2 linked regions of the Saccharomyces cerevisiae S288C genome follow. The gene in region 1 interacts genetically with each later gene. Each region holds a gene or a part of one and is shown on either strand. Other genes may lie near its edges.

What was found. Genes that interact genetically often act in the same process or in processes that back each other up.
Region 2: mutations in FRK1 (region 1) and PTK2 together harm fitness more than expected from each alone (negative genetic interaction), as found in Saccharomyces cerevisiae (3 studies listed by BioGRID).

Annotation. Positions count from the first base shown.
Region 1 is NC_001148.4:282,964-287,779, forward strand, and holds FRK1 (protein kinase FRK1), read right to left. Parts: upstream 3,099-4,816; coding exon 501-3,098; downstream 1-500. Other genes in the region: 60S ribosomal protein eL33 RPL33A, read left to right, coding at 1-7; putative mitogen-activated protein kinase kinase MKK2, read right to left, coding at 4,551-4,816. UniProt on the Saccharomyces cerevisiae protein: Putative serine/threonine-protein kinase that may be involved in rRNA transcription and ribosome biogenesis.
Region 2 is NC_001142.9:544,027-549,209, forward strand, and holds PTK2 (protein kinase PTK2), read left to right. Parts: upstream 1-1,760; coding exon 1,761-4,217; downstream 4,218-5,183. Other genes in the region: CDC8 (bifunctional thymidylate/uridylate kinase), read left to right, coding at 36-686; APS2 (Aps2p), read right to left, coding at 706-1,149; CBF1 (Cbf1p), read left to right, coding at 4,733-5,183. UniProt on the Saccharomyces cerevisiae protein: Essential determinant for high-affinity spermidine transport. Required for the activation of the plasma membrane proton pump PMA1 via phosphorylation of 'Ser-899'.

The DNA.
Region 1 (4,816 bases):
CATCTAAATTTGTTGATTGTATAAGTACTCTATTAAACATCGTTATTTTCTCTTTTATTACTATTAATATTATTATATTTTGAGAATAGAAAAGACTAATATATATATAGTATAATTTTTAAAATTAATTCCGTACAAAAGGCAAAAGAAATTGTCTTCTTACTTAAAATGTCTGCGAATCTCGCTGTAAGCGCAGTGAAACAATGTTCCCGCTTAGAAGACGTGATTCAAGCGGAGTGAAGCTATGATTGATAATAAGTAACAATTTAGAAAAATTTTTGATGTTTTTAGTAATGCAAAATATATATGGTAGGTATATGCATATATATGCTCAATGTTTATTAGATTGAAATTTCATAAAGTATATTATAACATTATTTTGTTGGTCTGGCAAATCGCAAAATTTTAGCGACAGACATTTTAAATGGAAAAATTGCAGATAGTACTGATTTTTTCATATGATAAGTGGATATTATTGTCAAATGAGATAGGTATTATCTCTAGATTTTCATACTTCTTCTTTTGAAAAACCCTAATACTCTTTTTGCGGTTGAATGTTCTGGACTTTGGGCTGCTTTATTGTCTACGCTTGCCTTGTTGACCTCAGATACCATTATGGAGGACCTGTTGCTTCGGACCGCTTTTTTAGTTTCTAAAGTACATTTATTTTGCACCATCGTTGGTGCAGGCAGGTCTTTTGAGACTTGATGGGATGTTTGCATATTTGAAGCAGTGATATAATGATTCTTTGAATTTGTTTGATAACTGTCATCCTTTTTTGGGCGTCTTTGGGAAGGTGGAGAAGGTTTCCGTTTGGAATCCATTGATGAGTATAAACTAGATTTGGAAGTATCATAAGAGTACAAGGAAAGAAAGCTAAATCTTTTCTTTGTTGACTCTGCTTCGTTAAGTGATCTTTCTAGATGGTTATTGACGTGTTTTTGTGCTGTAGCTTTCGCGATGTTGCTACTTTTACTACCCTTTTCACTTGTGTCCTCCGTTTTCGCCTTATCAATTGATTCTTGTCCTTCATGTTGTTGAAGAGGAGATTCTGGTGGCCTCAATTCATCAGACTCTTCGGTGACCGTATCGCATGAGATGTCACTGAATATGCCGCTATATCTCAAACTTTTGCGCTTCTGTTTGTATTTTTCATCATAGATTCTCGTTACTACATCAGCGTCCCTCTTATACTTGATCAAGTCACCAGATACGCTTTGCAAATCAACAGAGGGTTTTGCTACTGAAAATTGGCCGTGCGTAATTAACTTTGGAGAGCTTTCGATGGAAGAGGATGAGGTTATGCATGTATCTAGGGCAAGGTATGGTGTGGAATCAAATGGGGATGTGTCTCTTTGATTCAGCGTTTGTGATGAAGCGCTACTTTTAGCTTTTTCGTTGATCTCATATATGGAGAGCGTATTTGAATTGTAGGGAGGTGTTGTGTATGAGCCAGGATGGTATGAAGTTGGCCGTGGCTTTGTATGGGATGAGGAAGACGTACGGTAGAAATTTTTAGCAGATTGGAGACTATTTTGGGTCTTATTTTTATTGTATTGATGATTTTGTGATGAAGCCATGTTATTTGGTTGAATCTTGCTTGTTTGCATTGTGGTAGACGACTCTTCTTCTAAACTTGGTACAATACTACTCCCAGAAATTGTATTTCTTTTAATAGGTGTGGTTTCGATTATAATATCGCCTGGACTTATGGCTGGTGGAGGTGAAAGACTGGCAGTCATGTTTCCCGTAGTTTGTCTAATGTTTTGTACTGGGGATAATGATTGTTCATGACTTAACACATATTCCCTATCTGCGTTCACCACTGCCTGCAAGGCAACGGATGCAGCAGAGTTACTTCTATTGTGCCTATTAGATCTTCTTATAGGTGACAGCCGCTGGTCAGATGCAATAGAAGCCGGTCTGGTTATAATATGATTTTGTGATTCTTGAGGCGGAGCCGGGAAAGTAATTAAAGTTGAATCAATGACCAGTGAATCCCTTTTATCACTCCTTGAGCCAAGAGATGAGGTAGAACAACTGGATTGTGGTCTAGATCCATATCTTCTTCTTGGTTTTGCTAATCTGAACACGGATTGAGTATTGTTTAGTTTGTCCCACTCATCAGGTGTTATGGATAAGAATGAAGAATGAGGCTTTAGCCATTCATGTTTCTTGATCTGTTTCAGGTTTATTCTTTTCTTTGGGTCTGAGACCAGCATGCGTCTTAATAAGTCCCGAGGTATAGGAAGAATATAATCAGGGAACTTTAATGGTGTGGAGTTAATATAATTATAAAGTCTTCCTATATCGCTGCCTTCAGGATTATTTGGATCATCATCCCACGGTAAATATCCAGCTAGTATAGCGTAAAGTATAACTCCACATGACCATATATCTGCTTTTCTAGCTTCGTATGGTTCGGCGCTTATCACTAGTTCAGGCGCTGCGTAGCATGGAGAGCCACATGACGTCTTCATTAATTCGTTTCGTGAGCAAAACTCATTGACAAACCCAAAATCTGTAATAACTAGGTTCTCATTCTTGTCTAGTAATAGATTTTCCAATTTGAGATCTCTGTGAACAAGTCCCTTAGAATGTATGTAATGTACTCCACTTATTAGCTGAGAAAATAACCTGCATGCATTCATTTCCTTAAGCCTCCTTTTTTTTTGAATATATTTATAGAATTCTCCCCCGCATGCGTACTCTAGGACAATACCAATGTACCTAGAATTTTGCAACACTTCTTCTAATTTTACGATATTCGGATGTGATAAGTGTTTTAAGGCGTTGATTTCTCTGTATATTTTAACTTCTTTCCTGTAATCATTCGATATGCTATCACGTTTGATAAGTTTAATTGCTACTTGTTTTGGGAAGTCAAAAGTTGAATTAGAGCTGTTTGAAAAATTCTTTGGCCAGCCTAGCTTCACTTTTCCGAACTCTCCTTCTCCTAACGTCGACCCTAGGATATAAGGACCAAACGTTACATGTTTCCGCCTTTGCTCATCTGTTCTTTGAGGGTACTGAAATGTGTCAGACAAATCGTTGGTAAACCCTCCGTAGTATGTATGACGTTTATTGGTGTACGACATTAAATTTTTGGCACTCTAAATCAGTATATAGAAGTAATGGCCAATTGAATATTGAACGCCGCTTGGCTCGCCTTTCTTGTATTGTGGATGGGTAAAAAAAATAGCGATTATTGTTAGGTTTAATTAGCAATCAAAAAATTCTCGCAAACACGTCACAAGAAACAAATTAATGCAAAATGTGGCACAGTCAAAAAACTGCGAAAATGTGTTAAAGATGAAAAGAACCGTGATCAGCAACAGCAGTGTACCAGATTTTGTGATCTGATTTATTATAGATTTACTCGATGACCTGAACTTGAATTATATTTAAATCGATGAAGGGGTTGAAACAGGTGTTGATCTGGGTTTCAGAATTTTTCTCTTGTTTACCTTTTTTGCTGTTCTACACTCATTCTTTCGATTGTTTTCAATTGCTTTTTTAGGAAGTGCGGCTTTGTTTACATAAAAGGTGTGCGGCATTTTAATGCAATATGAAATTTAAAAGTATATGTAACGATAGCACTATTATTTAGGGTTCCTGAAATGATATACTTTATGGATAGACATTATCTGTTCATTGAGTATACAGTAGGGGCTAAACCTTCTTTTAAGGGAGTAAAAAAGATGGATATGCATTACGTCGGCCACATGACATTAATTGTGCAGGTTCAGCTGATGTATAGGCTGAAGAGGCTACGCTTGCTAATTTATAATGCCATTTACTAACCTAAGGAGAATAGAATCTCCCATAGAGTGAGTATGTTGTGATTAAAGAGATATGGTTTCATCTTTACTCGAGTCCATTTTCTTTATTTTTTTAATGGTAAGAGGATGAGTATAGCAAAAACGGTCAAGAGACAGCAGTAAGTGTCGTCGTAACTAGAACAAATAGGCCTTATAACAGAAATCATAAGGGTTGTCCCGTGGTCGGAGCCCTTGTCGGAACTAAAGAAAATCAGGCAATATAGAGGATATTTTCTACGTACAAAACGCTTATTGTATTTATAGCTCCAGTTACTGAAGTGGTAACTTAAGTAAGCAATAAGTATGTTAAAACCCTTTTATTTTTCTGAGTCGAGCAGATTTTTGTTCGACCGTTGTATATAGGATAATATGACGCCATATGATTTTTTCCTCTTTGGTAGGGAGGGAAGAAATTTTCCCCGCGCGGCTGAGTACAAAAGCGCCTAGTACTCACTTGAGTCATAATTTAGCACATCATAGCGTGCCTGCCAGAAAGACTTGGATGCGCATTTCTATTTGATGTAAGTAAGGAAATAGGAGAACTTTCATAGCCCATGGCTAGTTCGGTTTTCAGTAAACTATATACGTATATGTTAAGAATATTTCGGAGTGTCTAGATAATAAAAGAACATCGTTAAACTTATGAATGGTGAAGGAGGAGAAGTCTCGTTAAAGAATTCCTGTTGTAGAAAAAGTCAGTTCTGGTTACGAGAGGAAAATGTTGGAAGTTTATATCCCATCCTTTTCCTTTTCCCAGCATTTCTTTACAAACCGTTCCATGTTGACTTTTTTTTTCATTTGCCCTACAATCCAGGGATGCTTTAACATTTGCCTGGGAGAAGGCCTCTCTCTGGCATCTTTTTTTAAACAATAGTCGATAAAAGATCTAAATGTCTTGCTCCAGGATATGTCTAGTTCTGGCTCATCTTTCAACTGGGGAGAAAACGTCAGGATCATCGTCAATAATTCTATAGGAGCCACGTTTTGCGTTATTT
Region 2 (5,183 bases), on another chromosome or scaffold:
ATGATTCATAGTGGACAGAAAGATCACCATTTTGAATGATGGGTCGTGGCAAATTAATACTGATAGAAGGATTGGATAGGACTGGTAAAACCACGCAATGTAATATTCTTTACAAAAAATTGCAACCAAACTGTAAACTATTGAAGTTCCCCGAAAGGTCTACCCGAATCGGAGGACTCATAAACGAATATTTGACGGATGATAGTTTCCAATTATCAGATCAGGCAATTCACCTCTTGTTTTCGGCAAATAGATGGGAAATAGTTGACAAGATAAAGAAAGATTTACTAGAAGGCAAGAACATTGTCATGGACAGATATGTTTATTCTGGAGTGGCATATTCTGCCGCTAAGGGGACAAATGGAATGGATTTGGATTGGTGCTTGCAACCCGATGTAGGGTTGCTGAAACCGGATTTGACATTATTTTTAAGCACTCAAGATGTCGACAATAACGCCGAAAAATCTGGATTTGGTGACGAAAGATACGAAACTGTTAAGTTTCAAGAAAAAGTGAAGCAAACTTTTATGAAGCTATTGGATAAAGAGATAAGGAAAGGCGATGAGTCAATCACGATTGTAGACGTTACTAATAAGGGCATTCAGGAAGTTGAAGCGCTTATTTGGCAAATCGTTGAGCCTGTTTTGAGTACGCATATTGATCATGATAAATTTTCGTTCTTCTAGGAGGATCTGTACATATATCCTAGTCTAGTCTATCTAAAATACTTAGTCTTTCTAACAGCATATCCTTTGAAATTTCTTGTATTTCCCCTCCAATAAACATCTCGTCCATTATCATATAGACTTTGTAAAAGTTGAATACGATATCCAGTTCACAGACATTGCCGAAAAATGCATCTAGCACCTCCACAAACAGATGGATGTGGCACAAATATATGGGTTCATCGTCAAGTAAGTCCACACCCATGACAAAATACAGACCCGCATACCTCCTGTATATGAGTTTCGTCGAATCGGAAAACTCTACGAAGTTACTCTGATGCTTATGATCTCTGGAAGATATGAGTCTATAAATCTGCGCAATGGCATCCTGGCTACGCTGAGGATCCGAACTGTGTACATCGAACCATCTCACCAACCGCACCACACCCTGCTTATTAAAGCACAGTATAAACTGTACTGCCATTTTTTTTATCCCTTACAGCAAACAAGTCTCCGTTCTTCACAAAATAACAGCACCAAACGCTATCTCAAGGCAAACGTTCTTAATGTACCTACTGAATAAACCATTCCTCCCCGTTTGTATCAAAAGTATCCGAAACTGTTCTATGCGTGCAAAATGATATGTCTTGCAAAACTATTGGAAAGACCCTTCCACTACAGGTACAGTTTAGAAATGCCGGAGCTGCAAGTACTACGTGCCGGCAGCATGATAAACATACCCGCGTCCTATAGCCATTCAAGCCTACATATATGGTATATACAACATGAACGCTTTAGTACGGTCACCCCATCTACAAGCATAACCTCTTGGGCAAAGGCGCAAATAGTTGCCACGTGCGAGTGCGGTGCATGGGTGGCTGTCTTTTCGTCATTGGCACGACCCCTTGCAGGTGGGAGGTAGAACCAAATAATATCCGGTTGACGGTAAAAGCAGGTTTATATATAGTGTTAAAGAAAGGTATTGTCACATCCCGTCGCTACCCTTATCCAAACCACGATATCGCACGCACACCAGGAAAGTAAAGTTGTGTAAGCCGTAGCAGTTTTTTACAGGTTAACCGATTGAATAAGATAATGGCGGGAAACGGTAAGGACAAAGAGGTAGATAAAAGTCCCTCTGTTAGTACTTTGAAACTATTGGGAAAACGCCTGTTTAATTCCAGCAGTCACACGGATAACTCTTCGTTACTGCTTAGTGCCGAACAATTGGGCAATGGGAGAAGTTTAAGAAAAAGGCCAACGTCTCCGTCCATTAGTGGCAGTGGTAGCGGTGGTAATTCACCTTCGTCTTCTGCTGGGGCACGGCAGAGATCTGCTTCTTTACATAGAAGAAAAAACAATGCTTCTGTAGGATTTTCAAATGGGTCTGTGTCGTCACACAAGTCCTCTGTCGCATTGCAGGACTTAATTAAACATAATAATAACCCTTACTTGAACTCTCCCTCTGATATTCTGGGCACAGGTACTGGCATTGCCTCGACAAGAGATAGGGATAGAGCAGTTTTGGATAGAGAAAAGGAAAAAGAAAGGGCGAGAAACAAAGAAAGAAATACTCATCACGCGGGCTTACCGCAAAGGTCTAATAGCATGGCTAGTCACCATTTTCCCAACGAGAATATAGTTTATAATCCATACGGCATAAGCCCAAACCATGCTAGGCCAGATACTGCATTTGCAGACACTCTGAATACGAATAAGGAGAACGATTTGAGTTTTTACATGCATGATGGTAACAGCAAGATACGGATGTTGCCCCTTCCAATTGCTAATCCGAACGATTTTTTGCCCGAAGATATGAAACAATATAGTGTCCATTTAACGGATAATTTCGTATTTGATACGGACAATAAACCTATTGGTTCGGGTGGGTCTAGTGAAGTTAGAAAGGTTAAATCAAGTTACAGGCAAAAGGATGTTTACGCTCTAAAAAAACTGAATATGATATACCACGAGTCACCCGAGAAGTTTTACAAGAGATGCTCCAAAGAATTCATCATAGCTAAGCATTTAAGTCATAACGTTCACATCACGAATACTTTTTATCTTCTAAAAGTTCCCACGACCACATATACAACTCGTGGTTGGGGGTTTATTATGGAACTAGGTGTTAAGGACCTCTTCCAACTGATGGAAAGAACAGGCTGGAAGAACGTTCCCTTCAATGAAAAATATTGTCTTTTCAAACAAGTGGCCCAAGGTATTAAGTTTTGTCATGACAATGGTATTGCTCACCGTGATTTGAAGCCCGAAAATGTTTTAATTTCTAAAGAAGGTATATGCAAATTGACGGATTTCGGTATTTCTGATTGGTACCATGTGATACCTCATGACTACACTAGTCCAGTGAAAACATGCCAAGGTATGATTGGCTCTCCACCATACACTCCGCCAGAGGTAATGTACTTCGATGCCAAGAAGCACTACCCCGAAAAGTTCCAAAAACCCTATAATCCGTTGGCCATGGATTCCTATGCCCTCGGAATCATGCTGATTACCATGATTAACAATATCATCCCCTTCATCGATTCTTGTAACACTGATGCGAGATTCAGGGAATTTGAAGTGTCATATGACAACTTCATCAATCATCAAAACCCACATTTCAGGGACAAGGGCTGCCACAAGCCGGGTCCTGGTTCCGAATACTCTTTAGCAAGAAATTTCAAGAATACTGATGCCACGCGTATCGCATGGAGATTGGCTGACCCGAACCCTGCAACTAGATATACAATGGATGATTTATTTAATGATCCGTTTTTCCAACAAATTGAAACATGTGTCGAGCCAAATGATGATGACTTAGTAAGGGTTCCTGAATTAAGGAAAAGTACTTCTACCAATGATTTTAGTGAAAATTCATTAGATGCACCCCATGATCAAGAGGTCATTCACACGTCTAATCCATTCCTAAAAAAGGAAACGCTCACTTCTAAACCAAGATCGATGTTGGAAATTGCAGAATCTCCTTCCTTGAAACAAAAATCCAAGGTAAAAGATAGCGCAAAGACCAAAACACACGATGTTGGGGATGAAGGGGGGAATGAAAGCACCAAACCTAAGCAGCAAGATAAAAAGGAAAATTTGAAGAAAGATGAGGTCAAGAACGGCGACAAGGACAAAGTCATTGAAGAGGCTACCACGACTAATGTGGACAGCATATTGGAAAAACCAACACCAACCTCCACAAAAGTAGAGGACAACTTAAGCGAAGATGATTCCACAATGAAGGAATTAAAGTCGATGCTAAACTCCACCCCTACTACACCAACACATAATGGCCCCACTCCGCTCCCTGCAAAGGCTGGCACTCAATTAGATAAGCGTATGAGCGACCTATCACTCAAATCGGAAACACCGGCTTCTACAAAGAACTTTAGCGCACCGAATGTTTCGTCATCAAGCAATTCACTGAGAAGCCTCGGAAGTCCAAGCGTGTCATCCTCGAAAAAGAAGAAGGTAATTCACCACCACTTGGACATTACCAACAGCGTTACAAACATGTCATCCGTGAGCGCCTTTATCTCAAGATAGACGTTAGGACTTCTTTAATTCCCTCTTTTATGCTTTAGTATCGTCATATTCTTTCATACCCTTCCTTATAAGCTTTTTATATAAAATATCCCACCGGGAAAAGATAAAGAACGGAAGATAAATCAAACAATGAAATAAAGCACACACATATAAATCCACATATGTACTTATATATTTTACTTCAAACAATAAACAAACATTTTATTATTTATTTTTCCCGTACATCGATGTACGTGATCGGTTTTTCTCATTCCTCTCGGATCCTTCGGGACCACCATGTCTCACCCACCAAGGTCAAAAAAAAAATAAAATCGGACGAGAAAAGTATTGGGCAAACAACAATTATCCACGTGCTTATCACGTTTTTTTATTTAATGTAGAATGTAAACCATTATACCTTAAAGATAAACACTTTGTTAATTAATCATTTTAGTTGGCGGTCATTTTCATTTCTGCTACAAGTACCAACATCAAGTGCTTAAAATATAATACGGTTTTCTACACTTTTATTAACGATGAACTCTCTGGCAAATAATAATAAGCTTTCTACTGAGGATGAGGAAATCCATTCGGCAAGAAAAAGAGGCTATAACGAGGAGCAGAACTACAGCGAGGCCAGGAAAAAGCAAAGAGATCAAGGCTTGTTGTCACAAGAGAGCAATGACGGAAATATTGACTCTGCTCTGTTGAGCGAAGGGGCTACGCTAAAAGGGACTCAAAGTCAGTATGAAAGCGGACTGACGTCTAACAAAGATGAGAAAGGAAGTGATGACGAAGATGCGTCAGTGGCTGAGGCTGCTGTTGCCGCTACCGTCAATTATACAGACTTAATCCAGGGCCAGGAAGATAGTTCTGATGCCCACACATCTAATCAAACGAACGCGAATGGTGAGCACAAGGATTCCCTTAATGGGGAAAGAGCCATAACCCCATCAAATGAAGGAGTCAAGCCAAACACCTCCCTGG